Tribolium castaneum: one gene and its partner. The protein of the gene in region 1 purifies or fractionates together with the protein of each later gene. This does not show direct contact. Links are inferred from orthologs where the notes say so. Each region holds a gene or a part of one and is shown on either strand. Other genes may lie near its edges.

The links. Proteins that work in one complex are often made in the same cells at the same time.
Region 2: the proteins of cos (region 1) and Su(fu) purify together in Drosophila melanogaster (affinity purification with western blotting; 3 studies listed by BioGRID, with this or other methods). This does not show direct contact. The link is inferred for Tribolium castaneum from reciprocal best matches to the Drosophila melanogaster genes cos and Su(fu).

Annotation. Positions count from the first base shown.
Region 1 is NC_087402.1:2,906,818-2,911,681, forward strand, and holds the start of cos (kinesin-like protein costa), read right to left. Parts: upstream 2,913-4,864; 5' UTR 2,782-2,912; coding exon 2,780-2,781; exon of another isoform or gene 2,734-2,779; coding exon 1-2,733. Other genes in the region: mRpL48 (large ribosomal subunit protein mL48), read right to left, coding at 2,989-3,156, 3,206-3,466, 3,513-3,617; uncharacterized protein LOC103312599, read right to left, coding at 3,841-3,945, 4,004-4,063, 4,110-4,411, 4,456-4,537. UniProt on the Drosophila melanogaster protein: Regulates cubitus interruptus (ci) processing by recruiting multiple kinases to promote its efficient phosphorylation.
Region 2 is NC_087397.1:4,507,973-4,512,702, reverse strand, and holds Su(fu) (suppressor of fused homolog), read right to left. Parts: upstream 2,898-4,730; 5' UTR 2,652-2,897; coding exon 2,503-2,651; intron 2,281-2,502; coding exon 2,188-2,280; intron 2,144-2,187; coding exon 1,736-2,143; intron 1,685-1,735; coding exon 1,283-1,684; intron 1,232-1,282; coding exon 952-1,231; 3' UTR 675-951; downstream 1-674. Other genes in the region: uncharacterized protein LOC107399185, read right to left, coding at 1-39, 90-283, 336-336; Lrrk (leucine-rich repeat serine/threonine-protein kinase 1), read left to right, coding at 3,113-3,166, 3,216-3,413, 3,468-3,633.

The sequences.
Region 1 (4,864 bases):
TCAATGGTGACCTTGGCCTGTGGGGGCACCGATTGCAGCTGTCTCGGAACGGTCTCCTGGCGGTATCGCGTCCACTTCGCTATGAACCTATTCTTGTCCACTTGTTTACTGGCGCCTGCCACTTGAACCGTCACTGCGGAATGTCTCGACCCCAAGACCCGACTTATCCTCTCATTATCAGCCCCATCTCCCGTCAGGTTCCTCAAGACCAAGTACAACTTGTCTTCGTGTTGTTGCTGGAGCGAGGCTATCCTCCGTTCAGCGTCAGACCTAACCAGTTGTAAGTTATGACTGAGTTTTTGCACACGATATGCGAGATTTTCGTGTTGGTTTTCAATATCCAAAATCTCCAAATCGAGCTTTTTGCTGCTGCTCCTCAAATCGATAATCTTCTCGAAATATCTATGAAGGAGGATCCTCATTTCGTTCTCACTCAGTTTGAGGAACCGCTCCATCAGCATCCGATCGCCATGATCCTCAATCTCTTTGACTGGCAGGTGCCCACACAAAATCGAGTTTTTGTATTCTATGATCAAGTCTATTGCCTCAATAGCCTCCTCGTACTGCAGCAACTTGCGTTCGTCGGAGTCGTTCAGGAATTTTTTATTCTGGGATTTGAGCGTGATTTTGCACCGCAATTCTAATAAATAGTCGCGGGTTTTGCGCAAGTTGCGAATTTCGTGTCTCAGACTTTCAAGTTCTTCGCTATTTAGCGAAACGTTTGGTTTAATTAAAGCAACGACTTTAACATCGGGGGTTTTCGGCACGCTCTCGCAACTCGCTTTCGACTTAGAGCGCTCCTCCTTCAGCTGTTTCTCGTAGATTTGTTTATACTTTTCTTTCTCTTGTTTGTACTTTTTCAACTTCTCCCGATCTGTATGTAGACTACTTTCTAATTCTAGCAATTTGTTCCCGTCTTCGGTCAGGTTTTTCAACGATTCGGTGTCTCGCAGTCGCTCCTCAAGGGCCACAACTTCGCTCTTGTATTTCCCTTCCAAGTGGTGATTTTTTTGTAATTTCGCTTGCAAGAACTTGACCTCGGCGTTTTTATACTCCTTGCGTAACAACTGGCATTTTTGTTCGATTTTATGGTGAGCACTCGATTTTGTGTCTTTGTGCTTCAGGAGCTTTTCCATGAGGTTTTCCTTGACCCGAATTGTTTTTTCCAAATCAGAGATCTTTTTTTGATTCAATTCTAACGCAGTGGCGATTTGTTTAAGGATTTTCTTCTTGTTATCGTACGACGTAACTGCGATTTTTTGACTCTCGACATCGTCATTAATACGTAACGTATTGAGGGACAAGCAAGGGTTTAGTTCTTCAGCCGAGTGGATACTCCCTCTGCGCCCCCGTGCCCCCTTCATATGATACTCATTATTCGAGCTATTCATACTTTCTTTGGTACAAGAATTCGTAACGTTTGCACAATTAGCCTCAGAGACTAATTTATCGGTGTTTGAGCGAAAAGTCTCCATCAAACCTTGAACCCTATCAAGGAGACTCTCCTTCTCCTCCTCCTCAATCGCCTCGCTCTCACTACTATCACTCTCAATTTCCTCCTCAATCCGCTCGAGTGATCTATGAGGCTCTGAATTTTCACTCAAACAGTCTTCGCATTCTTGTTTGAGCATCAACCACTGTGATATTTGTTCTTGTTCGCTTTTTGGTAACAAGTCGTTCGCTACCAATCGTTGGAACAACTCTTCAGCGTTCGAGACAAGTTTCAGGAGTTGATTGGCGGCGAACTGTAGGCCGAAAACATCACAATTCTCTTGTGTTGACTCAAACGTAGCGTATGAGTTAACAGTGACGAAATTTTTGATCATTTGAGCCCTCAAACCCAACTGAAGTGTATACAAAGTCTCGGTGAAGTCTTGAGCAAGGGGGGACACGCAACAGATCAGAAGTGTCTTTGCGCGCCCCCCGAACGAGTCTTTCAGTAGTGTCGTCAAAACGGATTGAGTGTACGGCACAAAACTGCAGTTAAAATCAGACAGCGACATAATACACCTCTGTAAAGTCTGTATCCCTAAATCAGTGGGAATCGTTTGCATCATCCCGTTGCTGTCATAAACTAGAACTTTCTCAGTCCCTGCCAAATCGGCAAAACTCGCAGTTGAGACGCGATGTTGCACACTTGTCTCCACCACCCACTGCTGCTCCAAAGTGAGTGTGAACAACGTGTGGGCGCACTTGGGGGCTATATTCGACATTCCGACTTGAATCAACTGAAACACGTCACTGATATTCCGGCACTCGATGCTCCCAACGCCTAGCAAATCCTGGACGTTTTCGCCACAAATCTGCGACCAAGCGATATGCACGCACCAATTCCTGTCTCTGTATTGTTTCATTTTGGCGAAAACTTCGCGAATAAACCGCGGGATAATCCCGTGATCAGCCTCGCTAGCCGCACAGTGGAAACCTGGGCCTAGGAGCGTGTAGGACTTTCCAGTCCCGGACTGGCCCAGCGTGACCACCGAAACATCGCACCCTTCCACCAAATAATTCACCAAAGGGGCTGCCGTGGTTGTGAACACCGTGTTTTGGCAACAGTCGGCTGGAAGGGCGTAATTGACGGGGTAGTTTTGCGAATTCGCGAGTTGGATGGTGTTGTTGACGGGGTTGGAGTGCACGCAAACCATGTCGTTGGGGGAGTAGCCCGACGTATGGATGCGGACCGCCGTTTCTATGTGCATCTCCATCCTGGGAGAATTCAACCCATTGTATAACCTAAAATTTACAATTGAGTTGGGGGCTGGATAGTGGTGGGAATTACATAATGGGGGCGAAGTACCTGGCGGTTGCGGCGGTTTGGGTTAATTTATTAAAAATCAATGGATTTTAAATGCATTTTACAGCTGCCTCAAACAACACAACTGGGGAGTTTGGGTTTAGCACTAGGAGGGAACAAAATGGAGGATTTAAATAAAAGCGGCAAACGAGTTAATTAATCATTTTTATTAGACTATTTATGAATTAACATTTTTATTTCTTCTTCAAAGGCCCCCCTAAGTCGTCCAGTTCCTGTTTCAATTGTTTCAACTCCGTGTCAGGCACGTATCTAATCTCCTCGTCCCACTCTTCATGAGGCCGCACGTGGACGGTGATCCCCGATGGGGTACTAGCCTCCAGTGCACGTAAAATAACAGGCAACTGCAAATACGTGCCAGTTTCAAGCATTTCACTTTGAAAAATTAAATACCTGAGTTGATAAAACATCAGTAATTTGTACTGTCCGATCATAGTGCTTCAAATTGTACTGTGTGTTGATAATTTCACTCTTCGGTTTATAGGTCGTGACTTGAATGTCTTGATGGGGGGTTGCCCAAGCTTCCTCCACACTTATATCCATACTTCGCAATAATTTATGAATAAACTTTTGATAATTTTCCAATATGGCATAATCGTAGCCACGAATTTGAATATTTAAAGTGTCGTACATTGGAAGATTCGATTTCATGGCCTAAAAAATGTTTTTTGGGTAACTTTAAGAGGTTATATTTGGTTACCTCGAGATAATCGGGCTCGTAGAGGTTGTTCCCGAATGATTTGGGCGTCTGGTGCAAGAAACGGCATTGAAGAGCCCTACGTGTGACCCTCAATAAATTATTCATAGTATAAACTGGAGAACTTAAATTCTTTAGCGGTTACCTCCAACAAATTTGAGGTTATGTGGTCCACTTTTTTTTGATTTTGATTATAAATAAAGATAAAAAAACAACAAAACCTTTATTTAAATTTTTCTGTTACAAGATGTAAATGTAAACGTTACAAATGGTCGCTATCTGGAGACTATGGAATGTGATTTGCGTAATTGCCGATTATTAAACAGAAAAATTATTCCTTTACTTTGAAGATCTTTTGTACGTTACATAAATATTCCCTCCTGATCGCATATTGGTAATAAAAATAGAGTTTTCTACTAAAGTAAACATACAAAATCTGGAAAAAATATTTGTGGTTCATAAAAACAGTAATGACTCGTCAATCTATTAATTACCAAATAAATGCAGAGACTCGCCAGAATGAACAAGAAGTAGAGTCTGCTATCAGCTTTAGCCTACGATTGAATACTTTACTTTATTTCTCAATAAAAGACAATTTACCTTTTTCACTTTGACAAACGGCAAATATTGTGCTATGTAATATTCGTCGCTTATTTCAGGCAAGTTTTCCGTCACTAATTTATAAACCTGATCCATGGCAATCCCCATGTGGTTCAAAACGGGGCTTACATGATGCACATAGAAAGCCACAAAAGGCCCAACGTACGTATCAAAAGTCTGGTCAAGAAATTGCCTAAGCGATTGTGGTGGTTGTTTAACGCTTTCAGCGGCTATATTTTCTCCAGTCGAGATAGTAAACCTCGGAAAAGTAAAGTAACGGGTGCAGGTTTTCTCGTTTTTACCTAAAAATACCGCAGTTATGGATTGTTACGCATAACCGACTCACTTGTCTCGGAGCATATCGGGAAGTAGTATGCGTGTCCGAAATTTAGGCAAAAGACAAGAAAAAGTGCTGAAATGACTTTCATCACGATGATTTTTCTAATAAAATTATGCCAAACAAATTTTGAAAAATTTAGTAACTTTCGTTACTAGGTTTTGCGCTAGCAACTTTAGCTGCGTGAATCACGCATGTTGGCGAAATTGTACGGTTGTGATTGAAAAGGAGCTGCGAAAGGGGTGAACGAAAGGGGAGTTCGAAATTTAAATTTATTCACGTTTTGGTAATTGCCATTTAAATTTAATAATCAATACTGCAGAAAAATACGTGTTTGTTTTGGTGATTTTCGTGTCAAGGTTACTTGAGTTGGCGACAGTTTATTGTTGATTTATTGTGCAGGTTATCTTGCGGAAAA
Region 2 (4,730 bases), on another chromosome or scaffold:
ATGTGCCGTCTTAACCCCTTCTTCTAGGTCATATGAAATCTAAAACACACTTTGTAGAAGAAATGTCTAACAGTTAAATAAATACAAACCTCCACAGTATAATTTAGCTTTTTCATGCTCGGTAGAACTTCTGCAGAAATTCTCATCGGTTGTACTGTGCCATCAAACCTAAATTTGGTGACGTGACCGCTGGTAAAAGCATTTTCTCCCCGAACTAAAAAGCGATTACCGTCCCCAAAAAATTTCGCAATAAAGTGAAACTTAACAATGTGCTTTTCTGCCACTAAAATGCATAAATATAATAGTTTCTCAAAGTATAATTAAAGCTTACTCACTTTCTCACCGACAACGTGGTTCCCTGTATTCTTTTATAAAGTTCGTATTTTCACAAAAAGTCACTTCTAAATTAAATTAAAGTCTCTAGTGGCACAAATTACACCCGCTGCAGCTATTTGACACGTTATTAACGCACAAACACAACCAAAAAACCGAAAAACGTATTACACCACATGTAAAAGACTGGTTGTTTAGCTTTGAGCAACTGACCTACCGTAATAAGAGTGGGGAGGTGACGTCACGACTGATAGCGCGTATGAAGTAAATCAAACGACTTAATTTCACAGGCCATTTCGATAAAAAAATTAGAAAGCATGGTATAAAAATAAAAAACCTAATTCAAAAGAAAGCATCTTTATTCGTTTAGAATCAAGTGGGACAGTTTACAGGTCTATGGTACATAATATGGGTTACTTTTTGTACTTTAAATCCGATATGTATAGCATATGGGGGGTTGTTCTATTTAAGTTAGGTAATAATAAATAATGTAATAAATTAATTGAGTAAACCTAAGATAAGAAATATGCCTACATATTGCTTTTGATTATTTCGTGAGACTAAGGCTAAATTAAACCTATTTTAGTCTTATTATGATTAATGAGATAACTGTAAATACTATAACTTGTCCGCTACAATAGTCACAGATAACTTTTTGTCGGGCCATGAGAATGTTTTTGGTAAAGAAAGCGCCTCTGGAGTGGCCAGAACTTGAAAAGTAACCGCCATATCCTGAGCTAAATCGTCGGTAATAAGTATTTGTAGCCATGAACCCTGAGCTACATAAGGGTGTTCTGAGTTCACCAACGTCCCTGTAACCGTACCTGCCACTAGTGTTATGGCAGTTTCACCCAAAACTGACTTAAATGTGAAATGTCTACCATGTCGTACGCGCCCCCTTTTCAAAAATAAAAAATAGAAACAACACCAACACGTAAAATTCCCTCACCTGATGGCCAAAGGGAGTAAACTCCCAGCCTCCAAATTAAAAACCAAATGGACGCCCTCTAATTTCTTTATGTGCAACAACTCAGTTGACTCGTCCATTTTGAAATTGGTGCTACTGGAGCGGTTTTGTTCAAAGTTGCCACTCTGTAGCGGTTTTTGAGGTGAATTTAACAGAGTTACGTCCTCTTGAGCTTGGAAATTGTCACAATCGGACTTTTCTTTCAAATGCATTATGTCAATACGAGCAGGGTCTTGCTCAACCCATGAACACCTAGCGCTGACTCCGCTCAAATTGGAGCCCTCTAACTCAAACCCTCGCTCGACTTCCTCGTGCGCGTTTAAATCAAGCTCAAAAATGCTCTCCCCTCGCCTCATATCCGTGATAAACCAAGGCCCCCCAGCACTAAAACCCAGACTTAAGTTTTACGAAAACGTGATTGGTGGTGCGATTTACGACGGTATTCTAGTTATCATATCAAGCACCCCGGCCCCGTTCCACTGCTGGGCTGCTTTCAGCTCCTCGGCGCAAATACCAACAATTTGGACGAAATCGACAGAACCAAAAGGCGTCTGTATTGACTTCAAATGCACGTCTGTGGTCATCAACATGTGCTGTATTCGTGACTCGCTGCTATCTAACGCGCAGTGCCAGGAAACGTGGTCACCAGCACAAAGAGTGTTGCCTGACTGAAAAACGTATTTCGCTAAAGATTGCATTAAAGTTGCGGGCCAGGTGGGCGGTGCCGTCTCTTCAGGCTCCCGTTTTAGCCTAAATGTTAGCTCAAAACCAAAACCTGAAACACCATTAGCTCCTGACACGTCGTGCACTCGCCCGTCACCGTGAAGGTCTGAGAGACCAAAACTAAAATTTTCGTTTATTAAATATTTCACTTAAAAGATTGCTACCTTATGTAGTGCCAATGTGGAGGAATGTTTTCTTGTGGAATGCCTGGATTTGCATACATTGATATGTAATCTAAAGGATCGGGCCCTCCCAGCCTATAAAAAAGTATCCCCTCGTTTAAAAATAAAATAGGTCAGCTCCCCTGTTTACATACAAGGGAAGCAGACAGAAAAAACAGGAAGTGACTATAAATAGAACCTGAGTCAAATTTTAATTTAATGGAAATTTCGCACAATTATAAGCCCGGCAATTGCCAAAATAATTACATGTACGTTAAATTAAACGAATTATGTAATTTTATTGCAAAAATCACTTGCCAGTACTTGATGAGGGCCGTGACTTGAAGGGGGTTGGCTTGATCGGGGTAAATTTTCCTACATAGCGTGTACAAAGACTCCAAACCTGCTGGTGTCGGTGGCAGAATGTTCATTGGGGGTCCATGGGGCAGAGCAGCAGCTTCATTCATTGTTCTATTGGGCCCCCCCAACTTTAAAACTTTACAAACCAACACCTCTACTTACTAGAAATCGGCAGAAAGTATTATATTTAGCCGTTTGTTACCACTTTAGAACATTTTACACTTCCGTCCAGACCAATAAAAGAAAATATTTCAAGAATGCAGGAACAACTTTTAGGCAACCCGCCAAACAAAACAAGAGTAACCTGGCTCGGTAACTCACCAAACAGAAATTTCCCTAGAGCCCGTTCGAAAAGTGGGTGCAAGGGGTGGCTTTTGGCGTTGTTAGGTTGCTTGTCGTTGCGACAATTAAACTAACCTCTAATCCAGCAGTCAAAATAAGGACATTTTTGTATTTCTCAATCGTTGCGAAATTATTATCGTTGAAACGCTTCGCGGTTTTTGCACGAAATTGTGTTAGTTTCCGCGTTTGTGTAATGTAGGTGTTGGGAGCGTTATCGATCGCCACAATGTTGGATTCTTCGCCTGAAGACGAAGATTTTCCAGGCCGGCTCCTACACCAGGTTCGTTCCTTTAACTAGTTAATTTGCAAAATTTGATTGTTGTTTTAAGGCCGCGTTATGGGACAACACACATTTACTCATGGACTTGCTAGAAGGGGGCCAACAGGCCTTCCTGAACTCGCAGGACAGTTGGGGGAGAACCCCCCTACATGCAGCTGCTATTAATGATAATTCAGGGTGTTTGACAATTTTACTAAATGCAGGGGCCGATCCTAACATTCGGTGCGGCCCAAGAGGCGACCAGAAGGTTTGTTTTTAATTAATTTTAGCAGTTGTAGGAAAATAATTGCTCTCGTTTTAGATTCCTTTGCATTTAAGTGCCGAACATGGGCATAACAGTAATGTCTCAATTTTACTGCAGCATGATTCAGATATTCAAATTCTGGATGCGAATGGAATGAGTGCTCTCGATCTGGCTGAAAAAGCGGGGCATGTGAAGTGTGTAACACTATTGAAAGAAGCTGTGGGTAAGTAAATAATCCCTATTCAATTTTTTTCTCAGGGTTATATACTGCTCAACGAATACTTATTGTCAGTGATTATAAACTCTTGTACAACAGGACATTATGTAATATAATGTACATAAAAAATGTACATTTTCTGAGTGACTTAATTTAAAAGTATTTGTATGTCTTGGAACACTTTGTAGTTATTATTTAGATTAATTTAAAAGCCGGAAGAATACTTTCCAACTTTTGTTTTTATTAGTGTATAACATTTTTTTATACAAACTCTCTACTTTGGAATTTTAAACATACTGTGACTGATTAACACAACAAATAAAATTGGCCAAAATAAAAGTGAAGACGCAATAAAAAAATGTTACTCAAAAGTGTAAACTTTGAGACATATTAATAAAATTTGCCTAAGTCACGAATTACATGCTGTATTTGTGTTTGCATTAAATCTCTATCAATTAAATTAACGGAAATACCTTAAATTATTAGATAAGCCAATTCTTTTTATAAAACAGTGTCTATTTGTACTTAAGATTAAATCTTAATACAATTTTTAAGACTTCGTTCTACATAATAATTTTGCTACCAATTTTGTTTGTGTGATCAACTAAGCCATTTTTTAAAACATTTTTTTTAAATTGATGTAATTAATTCATTAGTAAAAGTATTTTACTAATTATGCTTTTTTTAAACGGATTAATTAAGATGAGTACCTAGGAAGGTACGGCACTAAATGAGAATTTTTTCGGGTTATTCTTGATTACATAATCCAGTCATATGAACACTGCAAAATTTTATCTATTTAACTACGTTTAATTATTATTTTTATTTCGAGATTTTTGTCATAATATTGTTGCTCAGAGTACAGTAATTACTAACTGGTAATTACAAGGCTAGTTTTTATATTTTTTCCATTTTTAAAATTAAGCCGTACTTAATTTGTATGTATAACTGTATATTTAAAAAAGAGGCTCATTGCTCCATGAACTTTGTAAATTAATCTAAGCAGGTGTCATTTTGGCTCTCGTGGCTGCAGTTATCTAATTTTAATTTAGTTAACGGACTCGCTATTGACGATAAAGTATTGAATAATGTTGTTTTAGTTG